2 linked regions of the Astyanax mexicanus genome follow. The protein of the gene in region 2 binds, or shares a complex with, the protein of the main gene of each other region. Links are inferred from orthologs where the notes say so. Each region holds a gene or a part of one and is shown on either strand. Other genes may lie near its edges.

Region 1 (7,464 bases), on a different chromosome or scaffold from region 2:
TGGTGCTTATTCTACAGAATTACAGCACTCATCAGCACTTACACACCGCTAATCAGCCTTCCTGAGACACACGTGGGACAGCTTTATGATCCAGGTAGATACGAGGAGAAACACAAACACTTAGGCACGCACTGAGCCGCACACTTAGATTTAAACACAGTGTTTTTATCCTTCACTCAAATCAGTTGGAATTTGTTGTGAATGCCAAAAAAATGCAGTAAATAAAGATTCTCCATTTCATTTACAGTCAGCGTTTGTATCAACTCTGCCATTTGAGCTTCAAAACACATTTTATCAGGCTACTGACTAAAACAACTAAAGCTCAGTCTGCAAATTTACATCTCTGGGACTTTCCTCCAGCTTCATCACTGTCACCGCTTTGTTGTCGTAAAAGCGCAGATTGCTGCTTTGATGAATGGAGAGAAGTGTTCGAATATGACAAGTATCAGAATTAAATATTTAAGCCAAAAGATGCATAAAAGCAAAATACCTTAGACAGCGATTGCAGTAAATAATGCTGTGTTTTAAAGCAAGCAGTACACTAAATCTCACAGCTATCAGAAGTACACTGCTTCTGCTGCAGCTCAGCCTATCAGCTCTCCCTCCTGCCCTGCCTCTAAACCCATACATCACCAATGACCCTCCCAAAATACCTCTCACATTTTTAAGTCTTGTTCAAATTTGAGCTGAGGGTGAAGTCAAAACTTTAAAGATAAACCATAGTTAGGATATTTTGCTAGAGTTCTTTTGAGTTCTCTTGGATCTGGATGGAGCTATTTATCTGGATAGAGTTTTTTTTATATTTAACGATGGCAAGCCTTAATAAGAACAAGCTGAAATGAAATGGGAATAACAAGGCTATTTTTTAAATGAGCAGGAAGTTTAGATAAATGTGTTAAAATGTAAGGAGTAAAAGTAAAACTTTGTCTGAAAAATACTTACTCCAGTAAAGTATAGATAACTAATATTTGTACTTAAGTAAGGTAACAATTAAGCAATAATGCAAGAGTGGGAATGCTTTAACATGAAATATTGGCACTGCTGTATATTACGTGCCAATATTACACGTTGTAGCATGAACCTTGAGTGTATTATTGTGATTATACCACTGTTCGATTATCGCTGTTTATTGAAAGATTTTGAGTTACAAAGGACAAGAAAATATGATTGTTTGACTTTTGGTTATAAACTCTTAGCTAGTTAAAATAGTTCCTTTGCTGCTCTGTTTGTAACTGTGCTGTTTTGGTTTGTAACGGTGCACGTCCACTGGCACTTTCCTTAACGCATGTCGCCATGCCGGATCACTCGACTCACTGCGTGTGGGTGTGGGCGTGTCCGTGATGTTTTTTTAATTCAAATGAAGCAACAGATGTAGTCAATCAAGTAGTCAAAGTTTAAGATTTTACATTTTTAGTAAACCTCACTGTAATCTATAGTTCTATAAATCCATATTCTGCCATTTTTAGCCTCTCTTTTGTGTTTGAAAGGCTTCTGTTCTGTGTGTGTGAGGCTCGTATGTGTGTGGCATAGCAGCCTGCTGTTCCCTGATTGGCTGGACGCAGCATACATAGTGGCCGGACTCATTTGACTAAAGTTGAGATCTGCTGAATTTTTTTGCCTGAGGACAGGGCTGCATTCAACACAACGCAACCCAGCATGCGGTGGGTCTCTCTATTGAAATGAATGGGATGCGTTGGGGTTTAAGTGCCAGAGGAGCTGCATCATTGCTAGGTTATCTGTATGTGGCGGAGCAATACATAAAGCGCTTCAGTTACAGACTATTACCGGCTGATAATGGCACTCATAGAATCTCTTCCAGCCAATCACATTGCGGTGTCGGAACTAACTGTGGAATAATGAAGTATTTGTACCTCCTTACATGACGCCTCTGCTTGCTAGACTAGTAGATTAATTTATCACTGTCACCAAGGGCGTAGGAGCGGGCTTGATATTGGGGGGGACACATTTGCCAATATGAACCCACGCCCACCCAATAGTTTCCTAGAACAACATTTGTGGAAATTACTTTTAATTAAAAGTAAATTATTATTATAAGGTGATTTTACAACCTAAACATGTTACTCCACATTACAGCTACTGTTGTTAGAAAAATTATGCAAGCAATGTCTGAGTTATCACCTAATATTTAAAATAATATAACAGATTATTATTATTGTTATTATTATTGTTATTATTATTATTATTATTATTATTATTATTATTATTATTATTATTATTATTATGTATTGGCATGTCAATTCTGTTGTATATTTACATTTTCTCCTGCACTTTTATTTTTTTCTACTGAGAGCTCTTCTTAAGATGGTGTCCTTTTATGTAAAAGAATGTAACTTTACGTTTCATACAGACTTTTATAAACGTCAGGATAAGTGGTCTTACTGTGAAATACAAATGAACAGAAGTCACGTTACAGCAGTGTTTCTCAACCCAGTTCTTATATATTCTACTGCATATTAAAACTGTTCTGCATATTCTAGAGCTTCCTCTGGTGGATATACATGATTAATTTAGGCTCCATAGGGGGCTAAAGGATTTTAACAGGTAAACTCAGTAAATGACTGTTTATTAGCTGATCAGGTGGAAAACACTAGTTTAGGGCAGTGATCGGGGTTAAGTAACTGCTTTAAACTACCAACTTAAAGTACTGTACGAAATTCGGGCGATCATCTACATCCAGCTTCTAGATAACTAGTTAGTTAAATCAATTTTCGTTCATTATAGCTCACAGTAAGTCCTGTAATCCTAAATGAATAAACAGTTTGAAAATTAAAGTGATTAGCTGATCAGGTACAGGGAAACATTACATATATATTTTATTTTTTTCCTTTAACCCTGACTCCCAATCTAGCTAATTCCAAAGATAAGCTTACACACTAACACAGCTGCAGTTTATTAATCACAGTGGGTTTAAACTGTGTGCTGATTCAGAGACGTGTATTTTTAACCAGCTATCAGAAACATATCATCACAGTTGAAGTGGTTAGCCTATCGTTACCTTTCTTTTAGAAAAATCTCCGTATATCCATATCTGTTTTAAAATCAGCTGAAGCTGCTGCGTCCCGATCCCGCTGCTAAATCTCACAGCGAGGGGGCGGGGCTTCCCCAACAGCAAACTGCCTCTGCTCCGCGCGCCGCAAAACCAGCAAGCTGATTGGCTGTTTCTACTGAGAGGCGTGACTTAATACTTGAACCGGCTCCGTGATTGGTCCGGTCTGTCTCCTCATTAATAGTACAGCTGACCTGAGCGAACTGATATCATTTTTGGGGGGGACAAATCCACCTGTTTCTAATATTGGGTGGGACATGTCCCACCCATCCCCCCCGGTTCCTACGCCTATGACTGTCACTAAATGCACTAAAAGCTCTGGTTGGGGGCGTTGGGACTTTTATAGCCAGACCACACCAGGCCACGGCTAAAGAGCGCTAGCGCTAACTTAATAACACTGTTTATAACAGCATTATCTGAGCTGAGGGTCAGCGAGTGTGGACTCACTCTCTCTCCCTCTCACTGACCATCTGCAGCCTCAGGCCACAAACCCCGAACCGAGAATAGAGAGCAGAGAGCTGGTGCTGGGGCGCAGTTAGTTGTTGGCTGTGCGGTTATCTGTAAGGCTGTGTTTGTGAATTCTTCAGCACAGCACCTTCCTGCGGTCGCGGTGTATAGCTATATCTGAAAGGCACGCGCGGTCCTGCAGCTGCAAGCGGGAGTTCAGCGGTTTGGGATCGCTGCGCGCGGCTAATTTGACAGGGAGCAGCGCGCGCTGGAAGACAGAGAGAGAAAGAGAGAGAGAGAGAGAGAGAGAGAGAGAGAAAGAGGGAGAGGAGCAGATTGGGTGGTTAGATTTGGGCGTGGGGCGTGGTCGTGTTCGTAAACCACGCCCCCTAATTTCTTTCACTCTCTCAGTGAGTCTGTGAGCCCGTGCCCTGTGTGAGCTCTGGAGGGGGCAGCGGCGGCGGCAGCAGCAGCAGGCAGGCGAAGGGACCGGGGGCTGAAATCTGATCCCTCGTGTTTTTTTTCTTCTTTTTTATAAACCTCCCCTCTCCCTCCATCCCTCTCCAAACTGTTAGTGGCAGCCCGTGGCAGGCGGGCAGGCTTTCACACAGCGCGAGGCAGGAGGAGCGCGCGGAGCACGGAGCTCTCTCTCTCTGCTTCTCTCTCTTTACTGAACACGCGCACACCTCCCCGGAGCGGAGCCCCTCAGCCCCGCGTCCCCCAGCGCCCGGAGAGACCTCTGACTGGAACCGGGGGCTTTTCTAGCCGCCGCTTGTTTATTTGGACGAGTTCGCGTGGAGCGGCTTTGCTGTGGAGTGAAGTTTGTTGGATGAGCTGGAGACACGCAGCGCTGAGCGCGAGCGAGCGCGTGAACACCGAGCACAGAGCAAGGTGGACTGGACCTGTGTGTGTTTATGAGTGCGTGTGCGCGTGGAGGAACTGTTTATGGTGATTTGTGCTAACTAGCTTTACCTGCTGAAAAAAAAGGATTACTGAGAAAACGGAGGGAGTTTGGGTAAGTAGTCCTATTATTGTGCCTCTATTTTCACTAAGATTCATAACCTAGCGTTATATTACAGAATACAGCTCTGAGAAAAAAATAAGACACCACTTAAGAGACAACATGATGAGTTTCTTTGATTTTACCTCTGGAATATAATCAAGAGGAAGATAAAGGTAACCCAGGAGTGACATACAGTTATCCAAAAGCAGTGTGTAAGACTGTTGGAGGAGAACATGCCAAGATGCATGAAAAATGAGATTAAAAACCAGGGTTTTTTTATACCAAATATTGATTTCTTAAAACTTTATGAATATGAACTTGTTTTCTTTTTATTTGAATAGAAACTCTGCATACTGTTTGTTATTTCAGACATTTCTCATTTTCTGCAAATAAATACTCTAAATGACAATATTTTTATTTGGGAGAACTGTTGTCAGTAGTTTATAGAATAAAACAGCAATGTGTAGTTTCACTCAAAAATATACCTGTAAGTAGAAAAATAAGATAAACTGATTTAGAAACTGAGTGAAAAGTGGTCTCTTAATTTTTTTTCAGAGCTGTATGTATTTTATCTATCGATTTATGATTCTATTTTCCCTTTATTCCCTGTTTGTTGCTGTTATTATTTTAACTAGCCCTCTATGGCATTAATTATATATATTTGAAAAAATATATATCACCACCACTGCTTTTTTGGCATTATTCCCCTAACAAATGTGGTCTAACCATATACTGTTGCCCAGAGGCAACAAATGAAAAAGAAAAACAATGTTTAAATACGTAAATAAAAATGTCTATATAAAATCATTAAATAGCGACAAATGCTTTTTCTTTAATGTGTTTATGCACAATATTTTTTTTATTATTTTGGTTGTTATTACACCATTCAGTACCATACCTTATTTATTATTTATTTATTTATTTATTTATTTATTTATTTATTTATTTATTTATTTATTTGTATTTTAATTTGTTCCCATTGGGCAACATTATATAGGTCAGTTTTGTTAAAACAGTGGTGATTCAAATAATCAGCTTGTTATCAAAATAATAAAAAAGTGGTCTGAAAAAAAGTTCGGAAAGTTGCTAAATATCTGTTTTGTTTCTCCCCAAAAATATAATCCATGCCATAGAGGGTTGACCTATAATAATAATAATTATTTATTTATGATTTTTTTTATGAGTCAGTAGTAGCTCTAGATTAGCTAAGCATGTGCCTTTTCCTCATTTCCTTGTCTTCAACTCAGACAGACAGGTCTGTTGAGTTTTTTAGGCTGCGTCCAAAACCACATATCTAGCTATTAACTCTAACTACCCTAGAGCTTACAGCTCACAGAATAGTACAAATACTTTCATTATTAGAGTAACATTGAACAACCTTTCATACACAAAAAAAAACCTTCAGTTAAGATGTACTTTTGTTTTATAGTTAGTATAGTCCACTCAGTGTTGTATATTTCAAACATCTAAATCATTTCAAGCCAAGTGAACTGTGTATTTGAGTTGATATCACTCAAATTCACACTAGCTTCTTTACTTAATGCTTTGATATGTTAGGGCCAGTTAACCACTTAGACGTCTAATGACTGAAACATTAACCCTCTGGAGATGCCACCTTTTCTAATGACGTAATTCTACATTAGTGTGTCAGTGGTGACTGTACCTTTTAGCCAACATTAATCCACTTTCAGCAGCAGAGGAAGTGTTATTTTGCCCTTACAGCCTTTATTGATGAGACCAAAATATCGTACAAGCAAACACATAGGGAAAAGGGTAGCCTGGAGGGAATGACTACACACTGAAAGTGAGTGAGAGTGAGGTTGGAAAGACACACCCAATATGCATATATATACAGTATATATAGATGGCACCGGGAGCCTATGGTAAATAATTATTTTGCTGTAATTATGTCAGCTAGTAGCTTTTACAGTACGGTACATGTACAGGAGATTAATGTGGTGTATCATAGTACAGTACTGTGATTTAGGACCTCGCTGTGCCTCATTCAGTCAAAGCCAAGTGATTGTTATTGCGTCTGGAACTCACAGTGCTTTCCCTGAGAGTACCTGAGCTCCTCCACTGACCCAAACAGACTAATTTCTCTTGTTTGGATTTATGTAAAAGAGCTTTTTAGCTTTTAGCATTTAAACATACAAGAAATCCACACATGCGTCAGTTCTGTGAGATGTGCAGGAAGCTCTACAGTCCTCCAGGCTGTAGTATAAAGAGGATGAGTTCTGCTGAGTGTTAATAGATTAATGTCACAGGCTAACTCATTAGTTTAATTTTCCCTCCTGAACTACAGCAACACAAACCACAACAGAGCCTTAGCCGTGAGGCGTCTGATGTAGCTAGCAAGCTTTTTCCTGCTGGGAAGAGACTGTGAGGTGTGTGTGTGTATGAGTGTGTGTGAATGAGTGTGTGGGTGTGTGGCATCTGTCTAAAAATAGCTGTAAGAATAGAAAAGGGCTAATTTGGGCTACTACTTTGTTAGCCAAATATTCCTTCAGAAGTCACTGGAGAAGGCTTGTGTGTTTTTGGTCCAGCTGAACGAACCCACAGTGTGTGTGTGTGTGTGTGTGTGTATATGTGTGTGTCCGTTTCTGACCCGCATAGGCGCAGGACATCTGAAACCAATTGTGCACATTAGAGTGAGTTAACGTCTCCCCAGGTGTTAACGGGGGGCTTCTGGGGGTAATTAGCCACCACCACTGAAGTAGCACTCGTTCAGGACTCACTCGTGTCCCTCATGGGCCATGTAGACTACCTCAGCCAGACAGAAGGAGAGTAGCAGGAGCTGCTGTAGCAGAAGCTGCTCTGGAGCAGGTGTGTTTGTTTTAAACTCTCTGGCTGATATAGGATAAAGCTGTGATGGTCTAATGTGGTCACAGCTGGTCAGAACAGTGGCTTAGATTATCCTTTGGAGACTGTTCTGTTTTAAAGAATG
Region 2 (8,427 bases):
GTCATAGACAAAAGATATTAGCAACCTTAAGTTTTTTAAGAAAATCATGCATTTCTCCCAGAAAATTATTGCAATTACACATTTTACTATTCACGTGTGCATTTCCTTTTCATACACTTTTTATAAACTTTTTATAATTAATCACAACTCCAAAAATTTTTGAGCATTCCTCAACTTCAACCTCCTAATTTTTTTTGCCTCTATCTTAAGTTCTTTAGAATGTGTTGCACCATCAAAATTCAAAATTAGTGAATATTTGCAAAAATTAATAAAGTTTATCTGTTTGAATATTATATATCTTGTCTTTGTAGTGTATTCAGTTGAATTCAGGTCCCATTGTCATTGGAGGCTGCCCACCACACTGGGCATGTCTACTCATTGTGTCTACTCATAAAGATGGTAATAGCCTTATCCAATTACTTTTATCATAGATTGCTTATTATCTTAATTCAATTAAATTTTATTTGTATAGCGCTTTTTACAACAAAAGTTGTCACATAGCAGCTTTACAGAGAAGAACAGGTCCACACCTCTTATGAGCAGCACCACAGAGATGCCAATTATTGTGGTGACACAGTGGCAAGAAAAAACTCGCTTTAAGAGTAAGAAACAAATAACAAACAAATAACAGAACAAAAGTAACAGTACAAAGAATTAATGTGAGCTATAGCTAAGGTAACAGGCACTAATTTATGAATATAGATAATAGATAGACAGAACAGAAAGGAAAGAAAGAGAAAAAAGCAGGAGTTAGAAATGTTGTGTAATACAGTCATATGAAAAAGTTTGGGCACTCCTATTAATCTTAATCATTTTTAGTTCTAAATATTTGGGTGTTTGCAACAGCCATTTCAATTTGATATATCTAATAACTGATGGACACAGTAATATTTCAGGATTGAAATTAGGTTTATTGTACTAACAGAAAATGTGCAATATGCATTAAACCAAAATTTGACTGGTGCAAAAGTATGGGCACCCTTATCATTTTATTGATTTGAATACTCCTAACTACTTTTTACTGACTTACTGAAGCACAAAAATGGTTTGGTAACCTCATTGAGCTTTGAACTTCATAGCCAGGTGCATCCAATCATGAGAAAAGGTATTTAAGGTGACCAATTGCATATAAGAAATAAGCCATTTCTGCAAGCACAAACGCAATGCCCATACTTTTGCACCAGTTAAATTTTGGTTTAATGCATATTGCACATTTTCTGTTAGTACAATAAACCTCATTTCAATCCTGAAATATTACTGTGTCCATCAGTTATTAGATATATCAAACTGAAATGGCTGTTTCAAACACCCAAATATATACAACAAATTATTCAAATTAATAGGGGTGCCCAAACTTTTTCATATGACTGTAATTCTGATGAGTAGAAGGACAGGGCTGATTCCTGAAAGCTGGAACCACAGTTGGACACATTCAGGCCAGCCGGGCATCTCAGCACATGTGAGAGAGATAGAGAGAGAGAACAGAGAGGGGAGGAAAGAAAAAAGTGGTTAGAATGGTTTTATAAAACTCTGCTGGAGTGGGATGGGCACTTGGAGGCAGCAGCTCTGGACATGAGGGAGAGAAAGAGAAAGCAGATGATTTGGGCAGGGTTTATGTTTGCTGTGTGAGCTGTAAGAGGTATAGCTAGCAGGGAAACAGTAAGAGAAAAATTACAGAAACTGTTATGAGACATTATTCAAAAGCTTGAGCAAATAGAAATGTTTAGACTTAAAGATTGAGAGTGTGTCTGAGTCCTGAATATTAATAGGGAGGTTATTCCAAAGTTGGGAAGCTTTATAAAAGAAAGCTCTTCCTCCTGCATAGTTGTTTCTAATATGCGGAACTAATAACAGGCCAGCGTCTTGAGAGCAGAGTGAACGTGCCGGATTATAAGGTGTAAGAAGTCAGACCATTGAGGGATTATACGTCAAAAGAAGTATTTTATAATCTATACGAAATTTAACAGGCAGCCAGTGTAGGGAGGAAAGAATAGGAGTAAAGTGATCGAACTTTCTAGCTCTAGTGAGCACTCTCGGCTGCATTCTGAACTAGCTGGAGTTTATGAAGTAATTTATGTGGACTTCCAGCCAACAACGCAGTAGTCCAGCCTTGAGGTTATGAATGCATGGTCCTCGTTGGGTTTAGCAGATATGTAAAGTTGCGTGTCATCAGCATAGCAGTGAAAGTTAATACCATGCCTACGGATGATTTTACCCAGCGGTAACATATAAAGAGTAAAGAGTAGTGGACCCAGTATTGATCCTTGAGGGACACCATATTTTACTCTAGACTGATAGGAGCATTCGTTATTTAAATAAACACACTGGAATCGATCTCTCAGATATGATCTGAAGGTTAGGGCAGATACTTTAATTCCTATAAGATTTTCTAACCTATCAAGCAGAATAGTGTAATCTATGGTGTCGAAGGCAGCACTAAGATCTAGCAGTACAAGGATGGCAGTACTGCCCCTATCAAGAGCTGAAAGTAAATCATTAGTTACTCTAAGTAAAGCTGTTTCAGTGCTATGGTTTTGTCGATTTGTAGATGCAGGCACAGCTGCTTAAACATTTTTTTTTTCTAAAGTTTTGGCTACAAAAGGAAGATTAGAAATTGGCCTATAATTAGCTATATTTTTTTTAATTATCACTATCTTTTGAACTGTACATGAACTGTACCACTTTTGGTTGCTTCATGTAACGTCAATTGTACACATATCTAGACTACACTCTACACACTACAGTGTCATTTACTGAGTATGCTTGTTTCCTTAACACTTTGAACATATCTAAACTATGAGATGCTGTCCCACTGACAGAAGCAGATGTTCTTGAATAAATAAAGTCTTTTCCATATGGCAAAGCTGCTGGTCCTGATGAGCATCTAAACTCACTCTCCTGATTCTGAGAATGTTAACAGATTGTTAGAAAAATTTGAAACTTCCCAGCACATTTAATGAAGATAGTATATGTATTATTCTAAAGAGGGTGACTGAAGCGATGGATCCTGCCTTGTTCATTTTTTCCCAGCATGTTGACCAAAAATACTTTCTAGACACTATCAAAGAAAATGTGGTTGGATCGTGGGCAGTCAATGTCTTGCTCCTACCTTCATTCTGCTACAGGTTATTCATTGTGTCGTCTAAGAGATCCTTTTCATAAATTCTGCAGGATGATTCATGTTTGTTGCAATTGTAATCTGGCCCTTCTGTTAGTTTTGTAGAGGAACATATGTTTCTTTTTTTGACGTCTATAAATAGTCTCTGACTGAAAACTTGGCTCTCTATTTTTGCCATTTTTAACCTTTTGATATAATGCTGTAAAATGAATATAGTCCACCCTCATTTAACCATTCTCAACTGAGAATACACATCCAGTGATGCTGGACCACCGCCCAGGTCATGGTTCAGCTTAAAGGATATTTTGATCACATAGATAAAGATCTGTATAAGATCTGTATCTGGACTTGTTCCATGCTTATCAAGACACTTGTTAGGTATGAGGTAAATTAGATATATAGATGATATTGAATCATCTAATTTATTTCATGCAGACATAAAAAATGTAAGTGTCTTGCTTTTTTATTTGTCTGTAGTAAACCCAGCTGGTAAGTGCAAACCCAGCTGGTAAGTGGTAAACCCCCCTGTTTCAAATTGAATCATAATTTATTACATGCATAGCTCTTATGTGCTTTGATTACTATCCATCCACATGAGACATTGAAATAATTAAAACAATGTAATAAATATAAAAATCAGAGCAAATGCAAAAAAAAAACTAAAATAAGTGAAAGAAAATAAAACATAAAATACATTTTATGATCCCCTTTTTAGATATATGGCGGTAACTATAAAATAAAGTCGATGTTTCCCGGTTAAGGGTGTAAAAGGAAGGTTACAAGATAAAGGGTTTTGCAACAAAAAAAACAGTAAGCCTTTACTGAAAAAACTTTTAAAATAGAATTTCAAATTTCAATGTATTCTGTTTTTGTTTGTTTCTTTCACATATTGTCTCTACTTTTTACACTGGGGTTTTAAACACTAAAAAGACAAATTATAGAAATATGAAAGAAAATAGCAGCTGTTCATATATGAGATATGCTTGACTGTCTGAAAATACACAAAAAGTGATGAGCAAAATAATGCTATACTATTTGAGCTGAAGGTAATAGTATAATTGTAAGTTTGGAATGCCCAGTGTGGGATTTATGTGTTAGTTAGTCATAGTTGTTGTCCTGTGTAAAATCTAGGGACAGAAGTACCTCCCTGGCCACAACAAAGAGAAGAATACATTGTTGGGATGGCAGAGGTCCTTCTCTATCTGCCTGGCCTTGGTCCAGCCCCTTTTGCTGCAGATGGACAGAAGATTGTCTGTACAAGTTGGTGCTGCTCCTAAACCAGTTGTTGAAAATCTCTGTTTTCTCTTCAATTGTTCCAGTTTTCCTAAACTCATATTATCCTGTTTTTTACCACTTGCTGCCAGTGAAAAACAATAAAAAGTAAAAAGAAAAAAAACTGTTGACATACTAGCTGGAATGTTGACTGAACTTTTATATTCATTTGAGTTTATTAACTTTTCTGGTCATATTGGTTTACTAGCCTGATTGGCAAGTCTGCTAAACTGGTCATACTGGTGGATCAGTGTGGATCAGGTTCCTGCTGCACATACGGATTGGTCATGATGGTTAATAGTAAATAGTCCATGCTTATAAAATCTTGTTTTTTTTTCAGTGAGGTTGTGCTGTTCACCATAATAAAGTTACTTACTTACATTGCCTTAAGGTAATTTGAGACATTTTTACATTTCAGTTTTAATGAGCATGAGTCAACTTTTCTTTAATGTAACAATTTCAAATTTCCAATACAGGACTCAAAAAAGTTAAAAGACCTAATTTACATAAAATAAAACAATACAAATTTCTTAGGTCAGGCTGAATGTGTAATTCCATATCCAGTAATGTTACCTAATACGTTGTAATGGCTTATACAGAACCTGAGGGCTTAAAAGTGCCCTGCATTTTTTGCTGACAAACTGCTGCGTTTCACACGCGACATCTGCTGGTCAGTATGGAGAGATGCTCGTCGTATTCCAGACGTCAACAAAAGTTAAGATTTTAAACAAGTGATGGTTAGTCAGTGATGATGAGAAAATCACTTCCTAAAATGCCAGAGTGAAGTCTTGCTTGTTTGTGGTTTGTTGTAAACAACACTGAGTAAAAGTGGCTATGATAAAACGCCTGAAATTAGACTTGTGGCGTGTGGGCACAGTAACAGTCACAAGTAGGTTGTGCTCAGTACAATTATGGCTTTGCTCGTTCCGGCTTTTTAACTTCATTATAGACAGACCAAGGTGTGCGGAGAAAACCGCCCTCCGCTCTTCCGTTCCTTGTCAGTTTCTGTCATGGGGGCGAGCGTTGCGCAAAAAACTACGAGCAAGGAGTGGCGCGGGAAACGTTTAAATAGCCGGAATATCACTTTCACTCATCACAACAGCTCAGGAAAGATCTTCTCTTCTTATTTCATGCACCGTGTTGTTTTGCGTTGCTAGTGAGCATGCGTAAAGGCGCTCCCAGCCTGAACCTGCACTCGCTGTGTGCGCTGTGGCTCGCGGCGCTGCAGGGATGTGCCCCCGCGGACGTAGCTCCAAACACATCTCCTCTGCAGAGCACCAACTGGGGCAACCCGAGAAGATTCATCCACCTGCAGACCAGCACAGACCTCAACAACTTCTACCTGGAGATCAGTCTGAATGGTCATGTACGCAAAAGTGCGCGGCGAGGTTCTTACAGTAAGTACATATTTTTTGTGTTATATCTCAGAATTTTAATATTTACGCATAAGGGGAAATGCACGTTTTAATACAGATAGATGACAATAAGTCTTTTCCATATTCATTAGTATTCTTTACATCAACAGGTGTTGTTCTACTGAAAGCCGAGACCAGAGACCGCGTGGCAATATTCGGAGTGAAAAGTAGCCGGTTCTTGTGTATGGACGCAGAGGGGAATCTTTACACTTCCGTAAGAATTTCGTTTCTCAGTCAAACCTTCTTCTCGCAACGTAAAAATCGTAACGGTGACTGCACTCCATTACTATATAGTGACCTACAATGAAAGTTTGCAGTAGTTTAAAAAGTTTTTTATTTTTTTTATTTTTCTGATTTCGGAAAGGTTTGTAATAAAAATTAATAGTGCTGCATTTAAATGATATTTGTGCTATATTGAGTCCCTGATGGTGGGTGGGTGTGTAAAACACAATGGTTGGGAACAACAACAACAACAACAAAAAGACCCAACCAAGCCGCAACACATCCAACATAACCCAAATCCCCCATCAATTTTACCTCGACAAAGACTTACAAAACCCAAAATAATTAAGCCAATATTTATTTTTGAAACTGTACTTGGGTCGCGTACACCACATCCAAATCTGCTGTTTAGTTCTGTAATTGTGTAGTTCTGTGTGTTCCTATGTCGGATCAGGCAGGTGGTCTGGTAATATTATATATGCATGATGATGTACTGTCCAACGTTATATCATTATAAAAGTTAAACGTTTAATTTTGAGTATACCTGTATAGTGTTTTATTTTATTGAAGGGTTTAGATTATGTCATTCAAACGAAACAAACATTTTTTGTTTTTATACTTTTTACCTTTTTATACTTCTTACCTTACCAAGTTATTTTCTGTGTGCATAATTATGTCAATTATTTGCAAAGAATGCATTTAATACATTTAATACCAAAAACGAAACGTTTCGTTTTTGGCATTAAATGTATTAAATGCATTCTTTGCGTTCACTTAAACAATTAACTGCTCTGCTCGATAATTTTAAAACATGTTGCTCCTTTCTGTATATATGTATGCCTACGCTTTCAGAGAATGTGCAGAAATATGTATAAAAAGGACGCAGATCATGCACTAGACCTTTACTTAACCCTGAACACAAATTAATCTTGTGAAAGCTTTAGGAAAACATTCTTAAAACTAATAGATTAATAATTTTGCATATATGTGTATTTATTTTAGTAATGTTTTGACTTTATTATACGTTTATTTAATCTTCTTTGTGGAAGTCACTAAATAAACGAAAAAAAAACGAATCCTTTAACTTATGCCTCTCTCTCTCTCTCTCTCTCTCTCTCTCTTTTTTCTGATTAGACGGTTTGCAATAGAGATGACTGTCTTTTCCACCACAAGCTTCTGGAGAACCATCGCGACGTGTACTACTCCCCCAAGACCGGCCTCCTGCTCGACCTGGACGGCGCGAAGCATCGATACACGGCCGGCCAGAACCTCCCCCGCTCCTCTCTGTTCCTGTCGGAGAAGAACACGGTGTCGCTGGAGCGCCTGAAGCACAGAGAGAGAAAGAACCGGCAGGTGGAGCTCTCTGACCCGCTCAGAGCGCTCGGCTATGAGGAGGAGTCAGACTCCCGCGCGGTGCAGGAGGAGGACGCAGAGCAGGAGCCCTTTGAGGATCGCAATACGTCCAGAGAAGCCCTGCTCTCTCCTTCAGACGATGACCCGTGGGATGCGGTGCACGCCAGGAACCCCAGCAGCCCGCGCATGTCTGCAGTTGCTGGTTAAAGTGCCTCATCCATGTCGGATCAGACAGGTGGTCTCTGCTGTAGCCCAGTTACAGTGAAAAAAAAACACGGTGATCCACCTTAAGAGATGTGCGTTGATTTAACTGTTTCACTTTGTTTGTAATTTTGCACCCAAGCCTTTTAAAACACCAGTATTTATTTCCCATCTCCCACCCGAATCAACCAGACTGGTGCAGGACACCATATGAGGACAGAAATTGTTTACTGATACAAATATTTATTTATTTAAATGCATTAGTTTTTATTTATGTATTTATATGGATGCATTTGTTATGTAAATACATGTGGAAATACAAACTGTACTCCTGTTGCTTTTTTCCTTATAAATAAAAGGACTTTCCCGAATTTTAAGTGCCTCTTGTTCTATGTCTCGAGTCATCTGACAGGAACCTGTCTGTACATTAGATTTTATCTCTCATCTTCCTTAAACCCTTTCTCCACTTCTGACAATTATAGCTTCTATTACAGGTTTTTGTGTTTGCTAAGACCCGATCTCCTCTTTTGTCCAAACTAAACATACAGCTGCTCAATCCACATACACAACAAGCTTAATGTCTTACACTTCTTCTAAAGCAAACACTGCACCCAAAGCTCTGTAAACTCTTGCCAGAATAAAATTTTGGAATAAACTCTACACACACATCTAATGAACAGCATTTACTACACCACAGCTAAACACTCATGAAATAAATTGAAAATTGTACTAGTTTGTGCAGAGCAGGGAGAGCTGTACTAGGAGTTCTCTTAAAAGTTCTCTTTAGAGTTATTTCCAAATTAACTAAAAAACAGGCAGGTACTGAACCTCAGATTCCAGCCATTC

The links.
Region 1: the proteins of fgf23 (region 2) and fgfr3 are in contact, whole or in part, in a cryo-EM structure (PDB 7YSU), measured with the Homo sapiens proteins. The link is inferred for Astyanax mexicanus from reciprocal best matches to the Homo sapiens genes FGF23 and FGFR3. Residues at the interface, in NP_065689.1 of Homo sapiens: Ser29, Leu32, Gly33, Ser34, Trp36, Tyr43, Ala45, Ala47, Arg48, Asn49, Ser50, His52, Ile75, Arg76, Ser77, Glu78, Asp79, Ala80, Gly81, Val83, Val84, His117, Gln118, Thr119, Asn122, Gly123, Tyr124, Asp125, Leu158, Ser159; in NP_000133.1 of Homo sapiens: Glu157, Arg158, Asp160, Lys161, Leu163, Leu164, Ala165, Val166, Pro167, Arg223, Asp244, Leu246, Glu247, Arg248, Ser249, Pro250, Val277, Tyr278, Ser279, Asp280, Ala281, Gln282, Pro283, His284, Ala312, Gly313, Ala314, Thr316, Thr317, Asp318.

Annotation. Positions count from the first base shown.
Region 1 is NC_064414.1:26,188,785-26,196,248, reverse strand, and holds the start of fgfr3 (fibroblast growth factor receptor 3), read left to right. Parts: upstream 1-3,950; 5' UTR 3,951-4,529; intron 4,530-7,464.
Region 2 is NC_064409.1:30,450,338-30,458,764, forward strand, and holds fgf23 (fibroblast growth factor 23), read left to right. Parts: upstream 1-5,334; 5' UTR 5,335-5,552; coding exon 5,553-5,787; intron 5,788-5,915; coding exon 5,916-6,019; intron 6,020-7,161; coding exon 7,162-7,587; 3' UTR 7,588-8,076; downstream 8,077-8,427. UniProt on the Homo sapiens protein: Regulator of phosphate homeostasis. Inhibits renal tubular phosphate transport by reducing SLC34A1 levels. Up-regulates EGR1 expression in the presence of KL. Acts directly on the parathyroid to decrease PTH secretion. Regulator of vitamin-D metabolism.